2 linked regions of the Ovis aries genome follow. The protein of the gene in region 2 purifies or fractionates together with the protein of the main gene of each other region. This does not show direct contact. Links are inferred from orthologs where the notes say so. Each region holds a gene or a part of one and is shown on either strand. Other genes may lie near its edges.

Region 1 (4,926 bases), on a different chromosome or scaffold from region 2:
TCTCAAGTCTACCTCTTCTGGGATCTCTTGGCCATGAGCTCCTTCTGCTCCTTTCTAGTCCCTGGCCCACCCCACCTGCTAATCCCTGGGGTGGAACAAGCTGTAGCTCTCCATTACATTTTGGACCAGTGAGCTGGACATGGTCAAGTAACTACCCGGTCAGACTGGCTTTCCTGTCCTAGGCCTTTGAAAGTGAAAGCGTTAGTTGCTCAGTCATGTCCGACTCTGTGAATCTATGGGCTGTAGCCCGCCAGGCTCCTTTGTCCATGGGATTCTCCAGGCAAGAATACTGGAGTGGGTAGCCATTCCCTTCTTCAGGGGATCTTCCCAATCCAGGGACTGAACCCAGGTCTCCAATACTGCAGGCAGATTCTTTACCATCTGAGCCACTAGGGAAGCCCATCTTAGGCCTTTATGGTTCACTTAAATCTGGTTCTCATAGTCACTGTCATTTCTTGACAACTTGTCATTTCTTGACATTGGGCATCTCTCCTGGCATTCCCCTGTCCCAAACTCTGAGGCCATCTCCAGAGACTGGGCTGTCATCTCCAGAGACTGGGCTCAAGAAGCAGGAGCATTAGAATATATCTTGTCCCTCAGCACCTTTTCCTAAGACTCTCTCTCCATCTGACTGGGAGCTCTTTTTGATCTCCACACTCTTTTAATCCCCTCCATCAAGAGACCTATGGGGCAGCTGGTTCTTGGGGAGTGAGATATAGGGACTGGCATAGCTGGACCCTCCCCAGGCTTCAGATCTAAGATTCCCTTCAGGATATGACTCTTGCCTTAAAGGATGCTTTCTTCATTGCAATGTCCAATTCCAGCTTCTCAGCCATCTCCTGCTTATCTCTTAGTTTCTTTAGTGCCACCTGAAGCTTTTCCTGCAGAGAACGAAAGCAAGATGATACCCAGTCAGGTCAAGAAGTAGGGTGCAGTGGTGTGAAGTGGGGGGAAGATCATACTGGTTCTTAGAAGAGGCTGAGTGCAGAGGACAAGGAAGGACTAGAGTCTGTTTGGGGTAGGAACTCTGTGGATGGGAAGGTTTTGGAAAAAGCCTGATATTTCTTACAAAATAGGGCCACACGGTTGGTGTACAAAGGGTGGGGGCACTGCTTGTTCCTAATTAAGCAGGAGGCCACAAGGGAAGAAGATTCTTGAAGCATTTTCCCATAGCACATCCCTGCTCTGTGAGAATGAGAAAACTGTGCTGAGCTTGCCATTTCCCCCTTAAATAAGACATAGAAGGCAGGAGACCCCTATTCTTTCCCCAGCCCCACAGGTAACTCTCTCCCATTTCCAGCTCTGGGGAACAAAGCCATCAACAGGGCCCCATCTCCTTTTTACCTGTTCCTGCCTCTGTGCTGAGGACTCACCTGGTACTCCTGAGCAGCCTCCTCAATAGGGACCATGGGATGATCACGGTGTTTCTGGGACTGGGAACACACCCAGCAAAGGGCCTTCCCATCTGCCTCACAGAAGAGGTGAATTTTCTCTCTGTGCACCACACACAGCTCCCCGTGTGGGCCCTCCTTGGCACCCTGGCTGATTTTCCTAAGGTTGTCCACCATGTTGGCTACCTGTCGATTGGGCCGGAGATTCTGGAGCAGGAAGTGGCGCCGGCACACAGGACAGACGCTACCTCCTTCTTTCCCGACCTCAGAGATGCACTCCTGGCAGAAGCTATGACCACATTCAATGCTCATAGGCTCCACCATGGGATCCAGGCAGATAGAGCACGTGACCTCCTCCCACATCATTGTCAAGGGTACGGCTGAAGCCATTGGGGTGATGCTCCTCTTCGGTAGTGCTGGGGAGATCTTGCGGTGAGGGGAGAAGAGGAAAGGGACGGAAGAGAAGAGCCAGGTAAGAAAAGGGAACCACGAGAGAGGGTGAACTGGAGGGAGTGAAAACAAGAAAAGACAAGGACCTCAACCTGAATAGTGCTCCTCTTCCATAGTCTGGGTCACTGATCCAGTCAGACAGAAGGGGACACTGAGTCCCCAAGAGATAGCAAATATTGTTGAGAACCTGAGAGACAGCTGCTTACAATTCGACTTTCATCATGTTCATCTCTGCTTAACCGCTCAGAGTCCAGGCTTTACCTATTGATCTTCTGCCTCAGGCCACTGGTTTTCTACTCTGTTGAGAAGCTAATCTTAACAGTAGCGACCATTGACTGTGCTCGTTCCATGTGCCAGGTGCTACATGCTTCACATACATTCTCATTAATCTTTGCAATAGGCAGGAGTTATTGGTATCTATCTAATCATCGGTAACATGAATATATATAAGAATATTTATATTTATGCTTACATATTTTCATAAGGATACACGTATATCCGTAAGTACATGGGCTTCCTAGGTGGTGCAAGTGGCAAAGAATCCACCTGCTAATGCAGGAGACACAGGAGACAGCAGGTTTGATCCCTGAGTTGGGAAGATCCCCTGGGGAAGGAAATGGCAACCCACTTCAGTATCTTACCTGGGAAATCCCGTGGACAGAGGAGCCTGGCGGCCTACATACAGTCCATGGGGTCGCAAAGAGTCAGACACGACTGAGCACACACACACACGCATATGTATATGTGTGTATATATGTATGTGCATACACACAGAAGCGTGAGGTTTATTAAGAACTTCCTGGGCTCTTCTCTCAGCTACCCTGAACCTGGCCCCGCCTTTGTTTCTTCTAGGGCGCAGACCCATAGTTTTCTAATATCCTAAGCAACCCTGTCTCTCTCACCTCCAGAGGGAGCCTTTTGGGGACAGCAGTCTCAGGGATCGCGGACCTACCCCCACACCGGGCTCCCGGACCACCCCTGAGCTAGGTTGCCATCCTGGTTCTCCCAGTTTCCCTGGTTTTTCTTCCCAGCTCAGGTGCCGGCGGAAGCAGAGCAATCCGAGCTCCTTCCAGGGGACATCCCAGTCAGGTTTACAGCCCAGCCTCCTCCCAGGCTGCAGGGGAAAAACTGCTGGGTTAAGGTTGAGGGAGACCTGTTGCGAAAGAAAACCTGAGATCGAAATCTCTAGGGGTGGGGACGGCTTGGATGAGGCACTTCAGACCTGGGGCAGGGGAGAGAGGTCCCCTAGGGAGAGCTGGGGTACCTCGGTCTAGCCAAGTTCACTCACCTTTTCAAGAGACGCAGTGGATGGCAGCCGTTTCCTTATTTCACTTTCGATTCCTTGTCCACCGCAAATCTGAAAGGGAGGCGGGCAGAGCGGGAGGAGAGTGGGCGGGGCCAAGGGAGGAGGAAGGCGGAGGGGTTGAGGTGCCGCCAGAGTCTGGAGCTTCTGGGAGGCTGGGGCGAGCGAAAGCTCCGCAGCCTTTAGTCCTTGCTTTGCGTTCCCTCCCGTGTCCTCATTGTGTAATAGAGTGAAGCATCGTATCTGCTGCGTGGAGGAGCCATGCAGGCCTACGTGCTGTGCCCTCGTGTGGGAGCTGCTTTAAAGGAGGTTTGGATGGACAGGGGTGCCTGGAGGTCTCCTCTAAAGGCCATCTTCTGTTCCCTATTTCCAAAAACAATTCCTTTTCAGGAGACTTGATATTCTTTTAACATCAGGGGGAGAGCAATTTATTCCACAGTACCTCAGCGCATTATCACACCAGTGAGTGGTAAGAAGGGACTTGACATTTATTGAGGCAACAACTGTGTACTTATCCTTGAGCCAGGGACTTTCTCAGGTTGTTTTATTATTATTTTAAATTATGGTGAAGTACGTATAACATTTACCATCTTAACCGTTTTCAAGTGTGTAGTTCAGTGGCATTAAATACGTTCACAGTTGTATACTTCACCACAGTCCATGGAGTCTCAAAGGGTCGGACACAACTGAGCCACTAAGCACAAGAACGGAGAAGGCAAGGGCACCCCACTCCAGGACTCTTGCCTGGAAAATACGAGGGACAGAGGAATCTGGAAGGCTGCAGTCCATGGGGTCGCTGAGGGTCGGACACGACTGAGCGACTTCTTTCACTTTTCACTTTCATGCATCAGAGAAGGAAATGGCAACCCACTCCAGTGTTCTTGCCAGGAGAATCCCAGGGGCAGCTTGATGGGCTGCTGTCTATGGGGTCGCACAGAGTCGGACACGAGTGAAGCGACTTAGCAGCAGCAGCAGCAGCAGCAAGCACAAGAAACCTCAAAGAGCCAGGGAGTAGTGGCAAATTCCTATTTATAAGAATCAGAGTTTTTACTCTGGTGGAAGAACTTCTTTCTTTACTAGACCCTTAGAACAAGGCTGAGCCCTGTGTTGGGGGATGGAAAGAAAATGATCTGTAAATGAGTTACTAGTTTGAGGGAAATAGGAGCTGCAACCACCTCCCTTCTTTATTCTCTGAAGAGTGTGTTTATAATGGCTATAAAAAATACCATCACCTATTAGTTGTTGATCTTAGATGTGCACCAGAATTTATGGTACAACATTCTTATATCATAGAGTGGGGTTTCCAAACTGCTGCCATACCTGAGCCTTCAGCAGTGCATCTCATATTTTTATTGGACCATCTTTTTCTGGTTGATGATGTACATTGTAAGACCACTGCATTCCATAGTGCAACCCCATTATCAGAATTTTTTGACTGTAAAATCAGTTTCTTGGTTGTAAGTGATGTTGTTGGAGACCTTGATGTTGTAAATCGAAAAACAGTGGTGCTGGTAGAAGCAATATAAGATGGCAAATGAATCTGTCTCTGGTATAGTAGCTATTTTGTGAGGATAAATTGCTGTTGGTTCAATGTCATTATCATGCCACTAAAAGACTGCCTAGATTCTCTTAGAAATAGGGAAAAATCAGGCTCAGAGTTGGTCTTATATGTACAGGTTTCTATAGCAGTAGGAATACAAATGCTGCTTGAGTATGGATTCCTCGGGTTTATCCATTTACCACTACTGATACGGACACTTGTACAAGAGTCCATTGAATAAG
Region 2 (4,925 bases):
TGAATCCACCATGCCCCTCCAGAGCCCAAGCTTCAAGCCTACCCCCAGTGGACACTGGCATGGTTCTTAGAAGCTTTTTCTTTTTTTCTTGGCCAAGCTGTGTGGCATGTAGGATCTTAGTTCCCCAACCAGGGACTGAACCTGTGTCTCCTGCATCGGAAGTGTGGAGTCTTAACCACTGGACCGCCAGCCAGGTCCCCTTAGATCTTTTTATTGGATTGGGAGGGGTTGGGGTTCTGGCCTAGGCAGCCTGTTCCACCTCCATCATGAAGTGCTCCAGGAAGTGCTCCAGGTCCTCGTAGAGGCTGTTAGAGCTGGAGAGGCAGAGGCTGAGGCTGCCACTGTCCAGGGAGGACACACCTTCGCGTTGCACAGCCTCCAGGTACGCCCGGCACAGCCACGGCTCCAGCTGCAGGGAGGGTGCTGTCAGGCCGGGTGGGGGCTCTGTGCAGCCTCCCCCCGGCCGGGGACCTGGCCCCTCACCTTCACCAGGACCAGGCTCTTCTCCTTGGGCCTCCCCACTGATAGGTCCTGCCCGAAGCCCAGGTAGATGGTGTAGTGCGGGGAGCTGCGGCGCTGCCGGGCCCGGAACTCCACCAGTTCTGTGGAGCAGGGCTCTGGTGAGGGGGCGGGGCACGGAGGGCCCACAGCCCAAGGGCAGGGGTGTCACTGACCTTGGAAGAAGGTGCCGAAGTCAAAGATGGGCGTGTCACAGTCCCGGGGCAGCAGGCGAGCGGGGCTGGAGGCGCTGGCTGAGCCCAGGGGGCCCCCCACCTCCCAGTAGACTTTGCACTTGCCCAGGCGCCGGGCCCACAGCCGCGGCCCCCGGAGCTCCAGCTGCAGGCCGGGGCCCACGTGCTGAAGCAGCTTCTCTGTGTAGTGGAGCTGCTTCTGGTCGGGCAGCTCGGCGGGGCTGGGGAAGGCGACCTGCTGGGGCCCCAGAGCCTCTCCAGCTACGCCGGGAGGACCGTACAGGAGCACACAGCTTGGACGCCCCACCACCTCCTGCAGCACTGTCCGGCCTTTATACAGGATGGTCAAGTCCAGGGCCCCTAGGCTGGGCTCTGGCTGCAGACCAAGCTGTGAGCAGCCAGGGCCAGCCAGGGGCGGCGCCCCTGCCGTCGGCGCGCAGGCACTGGCAGAGGCTCCCACGTGCGGCTCCGCCTCTGGGAGCTGCCAGGGCTCTGGGGGTGGGCCTGCGTCTGGAAAGGAAGAGAAGCCTGAGCTGACACCTGGGCCCCCAGGTCCTCCCTTTGCCAAATGTTCCCTGGCTCCTCGGGCTGTGGCCTGAGGCTGGAGGCACCACCTCTGTGGCAAGTATAGCTCTCAAGCAGAGGGCTCTGGGCCTGCGGAGGCCCAGCTATACTGGCCCAGCTGTGACCAGCACCATCCCTGCCAAGCACCCCCTCCCCTGGGCTGCACTCTGCTGTCTTGCCTGTCCCTGCAGGGTAGAGCACTCCCCACCCCCTGCAAGAGGCCCTCACCAGGAGCCTCTGGGGAGATCAGATCCAGCAGATGATCCTCCAAGCAGCTCTGCTGTAGAGCCTGGATCAAGATGTCCCCAGCATCTCCAGCGAGGCTTGGGGGGCAGGGTTCAGGGTTCAGCCGGTGCCCCAGGCACTCACCAGTATCTGCTGCCAGGCATAGCCCCGGGAGCCCGCCCTGCAGAAGAGGACAGCGCCAGCATAAAGGAGCTGCCCCCAGGCCCAGAGAGGGAGCGGCCTCAACCCCGGACGCAGAGCGGCCTTACCCTTGCAGGTGGGGCATCTTCTAGGGCCTCGTCCTCCCCCTGGTCAAAGCCTAGGCCTTCTGGGGGAGAATTAGGGTTGGGGAAACGCTGAAGTGAGGCGCCTGGATGTCAACGCCCCCTTGCCCCCGGAAGCTGGTCTGCGCTTCCCCTTGGAGCCCCAGCGGGCTCCCTTCACTCCAGCGCTGCCACCCCCCCTAACTGGCACCAGCTTCTCCCATACCAGTTTCTAAAACCTAAAATCTGACTTAGCAGCTACTCCCAGGACACAGCACAGTCCCCCTGCCGGCAGCACCCCAAACCCCGGCCTTCCTCACCTCGGCACCCCGGCTCAGAGCTGATCTTGTACACCTTATGAGGGTCTGTAGGGTCCCCCGAGTTGTCTTCCAACATCACGAAGCGCTGCGTGCTGTGCAGAGCGCAGCGGAAGTTGGTTTTCCAGGAGGCCCGCAGCGCACTCTCAGGGATCGGCCGGGCACCTCCACCGCTGCGGGGCGGCCACCTGCCTCGGGCCACGGCCCAGGCCTGAGAAAGACAGAGTGTAGAGCACGTGGCCTGGACTTGCGAACCTGGGCCGGCCCTCCCCAGCCCGGGCAGAACTGGGGTCTCACCTTAAAAATGCGCGAATCGGCTTCACCCAGGTCCTTCCGCGCGAAATGCTTCCAGGGTACGCGGAAGCGCGTTCGGGCCGCGTCCAGCCACCGTAGCCCCTCATAGCGGCCGCTGCTGACCTCGCCCAGAAGCCAGTCTCCGAAGAGCACGCGCGGGGTTCCCCTGCGGGCGGAGCAGCCAGGTGTCAGGGCGCAAGGGGGCCGCCGGGGGCGTGGGGCCCGCACCGGGCAGGGAGGCGGGCTCACCGGTCTGGAGCCTCGGCCATTGGTCCCTCCGCAAAGGCTGGGCCTGGAGACAGTGGCACGCCCTCCGCGCAGAGGGCTGGGGTCTCGGGGCGGTCGGGGGTTGGCGCAGGAGAGGAAGGTTGTCTGTGAGTCTCCACAGCTAGTCCCGGGTGTTGGGGGGTCACAGATGCGGGCTTCCAGTCACGGCGTTGCGGAGGTGAGTCCTGGCCAAGACGGCGCTGGATGTGGCTACAGACGCGGCCGGTGCGCGCACGACGCGTCACAGGTTTTGAGCCGGCGTCCGGGCTGGGCCCTACGGGGGCGCGACGGGAACGGCCGCAGGAAAACGAAACCCGGCGTTGCGGAAAAACGAAACCTAACCCGCCACGCCCCGCGCGTCACCGCCACCTCCCCGTCCAGGTCCCCGAGTTCCAGACCCGGGCCCCGCGCCGTCATCCGTGCAGCCCGCCCCGCCTGGTCACTGCTCTGCGAAGCGCGTCCCGGACCCGCGCCTTCCGCCGAGCTCCCTGGTCACTGCTCCGAGAATCGACCCCGGAGTCCGACGAGGCCTCACACTCGTGTTCTTCCCGGGTTGGGCCTCCCCAGTACCTGGCGCAGGTTCGGGCCGCGTCCAGCCTCAGGACGCGGAGTCACTCGTGGGGAGATTGATCCCCTGGGGCTCGCGAGCAACCGCTTTTATGGTGGCGGGGGCGGGGCGGGGCCGGGGGCGGGGCCGGGCCGGGGCGGAGCTCCAGGTGCCGGGGAGGGAGTCACGTGCGCCTGGAGCGGAGCCGAGCGCAGGTGCGCAGGACCCGCTCTTGGGCCGCGGCGGGAGGCGGCACCGGGGTCCTGGCAACCCTGGACCCAGCCCCGATGCGGCCCAGCCGCTCCCCTCGCTCACCCAGCGCAGCGGGGCCTGGGGCCAGCAACCAGCGTCCCGGGAGAGGCCGTGGGATAAGCCGAGGGTTCCAGAAACAAAACCTGGCGCATCGCGGAGCGGAAGAGCGGGCGATGGGTGCGTGGGAGGGGCTGCGGCCGCGCTCTTTGGATTCTTAACCAGTGACAGTTCCTCAGGCAATAATATTCAAATACTGTCGAGATTAAAATACTTGGGAAGGGATGGGAAAACACCGGCGACCCGGGAAGAACGGTAGTGGTGCTGGGGGGTCGGAAGTCTTGCCTGAGGGCCGCCCCGAGGAAGCCAGTGGAGGGGGTTCGGGCCCCAGCTTCGTGACTCTGGGTTCCGTCCGTCCATAGCCTCTGTTCCGCGCACCCACCAGCCCCACGTGCCGCACTAGGCTCGTGGCCACCGTCGTTCTGGGCCACACCCCCCGCCGCCAATCAGTCCAGCCACCTGGACCGGGTGCCTCCGCGAGAGCCCCAGAGCGCTTACTGCCCTCCCTGCGGCCCACAGGGGCAGCAGTGTGACCCTCGGGGCGGTCCCGGGGCCCACGCCCTCCCACACGAGTCCCGGAGGGGGGCTTCTGGCCAAGTGGCTCCTCAGCTTCCCCCAGACGAAGAATCTCCATGTCGAGGCGGCCGCGGTCAGACCAGGAGAGGAACTGCCTGGCCACCAGCTGGCACCAACCCTGGGAAGCCCCTCGCGCAGCAGGTGGTTTCCGGGAAACGGCGCCGAGAGCTCAAAGCAGTGCCCAGACCGCCCGCCCCTCGCGGCTCCCACAGCTCCCCTGGCGGCCAGCAGACGTCCCCACAGAACCGAAAATGTTATTTTATTCTGCGCCGTGGAGTGTGGGGACAGCCACCAAGCCGACTCTCGGGGTCCCGACTCCGGGGGACGCGGCATTAGAAGTGGATGGAGTCGGTACCAAGCGCGTCCTGGGCATCCGCAGCCTCGTCGCCGCTGCCCTCGCTGCCAGAGTCGCCAGCGCCGCCCACTTCCGAGGCGGGCGTGTTGAGAACCACCACGTCGGCCTCGGCGCCGATGTCCTCTCCGAACCACACGGCCTTGTAGCCGCCCTCAGGCCGCCGCTCCTTGGTCAGGATGGACCTCACGGCCGCCGGGCTGCCCCCGTCCGCGCCCTTGGCAGGGGCCTCTGAGAGCCCGCGCGGGGTCTCAGGGCTGGGTGGCGCGGGCTCCGGGGGCTCGGGCTCCTGGGGAGCCGGCAGGGCGTGGCTGGGTGAAGGGCTAGGCGCCGGCACCCAGTTGGCGTTGTCCGAGTCGTTGAGGAAAGCCTGGTTGTCAAACCCTTGGGGCTGGGACTTCTGGGGGTGGGCAGGAGCCGGCAGTCAGCCAGCGGCCAGCTGGGCTCGGCCACCCTGCCCCCCGACACTGGGGGGCCGGGCGCTCTGCCCCTCCGCCCTGCTCCCTAGTCTTTGTGGCA

The links. The genes of interacting proteins can lie anywhere in the genome.
Region 1: the proteins of IRF7 (region 2) and TRIM21 purify together in Homo sapiens (affinity purification with mass spectrometry; 3 studies listed by BioGRID, with this or other methods). This does not show direct contact. The link is inferred for Ovis aries from reciprocal best matches to the Homo sapiens genes IRF7 and TRIM21.

Annotation. Positions count from the first base shown.
Region 1 is NC_056068.1:49,570,873-49,575,798, reverse strand, and holds the start of TRIM21 (E3 ubiquitin-protein ligase TRIM21), read right to left. Parts: upstream 3,186-4,926; 5' UTR 2,483-3,185; intron 2,446-2,482; exon of another isoform or gene 2,314-2,445; intron 1,818-2,313; 5' UTR 1,782-1,817; coding exon 1,374-1,781; intron 882-1,373; coding exon 786-881; intron 1-785. UniProt on the Homo sapiens protein: E3 ubiquitin-protein ligase whose activity is dependent on E2 enzymes, UBE2D1, UBE2D2, UBE2E1 and UBE2E2.
Region 2 is NC_056074.1:47,073,105-47,078,029, reverse strand, and holds IRF7 (interferon regulatory factor 7), read right to left. Parts: upstream 3,257-4,925; 5' UTR 3,193-3,256; intron 2,897-3,192; 5' UTR 2,625-2,896; coding exon 2,605-2,624; intron 2,522-2,604; coding exon 2,359-2,521; intron 2,273-2,358; coding exon 2,065-2,272; intron 1,810-2,064; coding exon 1,751-1,809; intron 1,663-1,750; coding exon 1,485-1,662; intron 1,203-1,484; coding exon 675-1,202; intron 603-674; coding exon 484-602; intron 410-483; coding exon 242-409; 3' UTR 196-241; downstream 1-195. Other genes in the region: CDHR5 (cadherin-related family member 5), read right to left, coding at 4,387-4,806.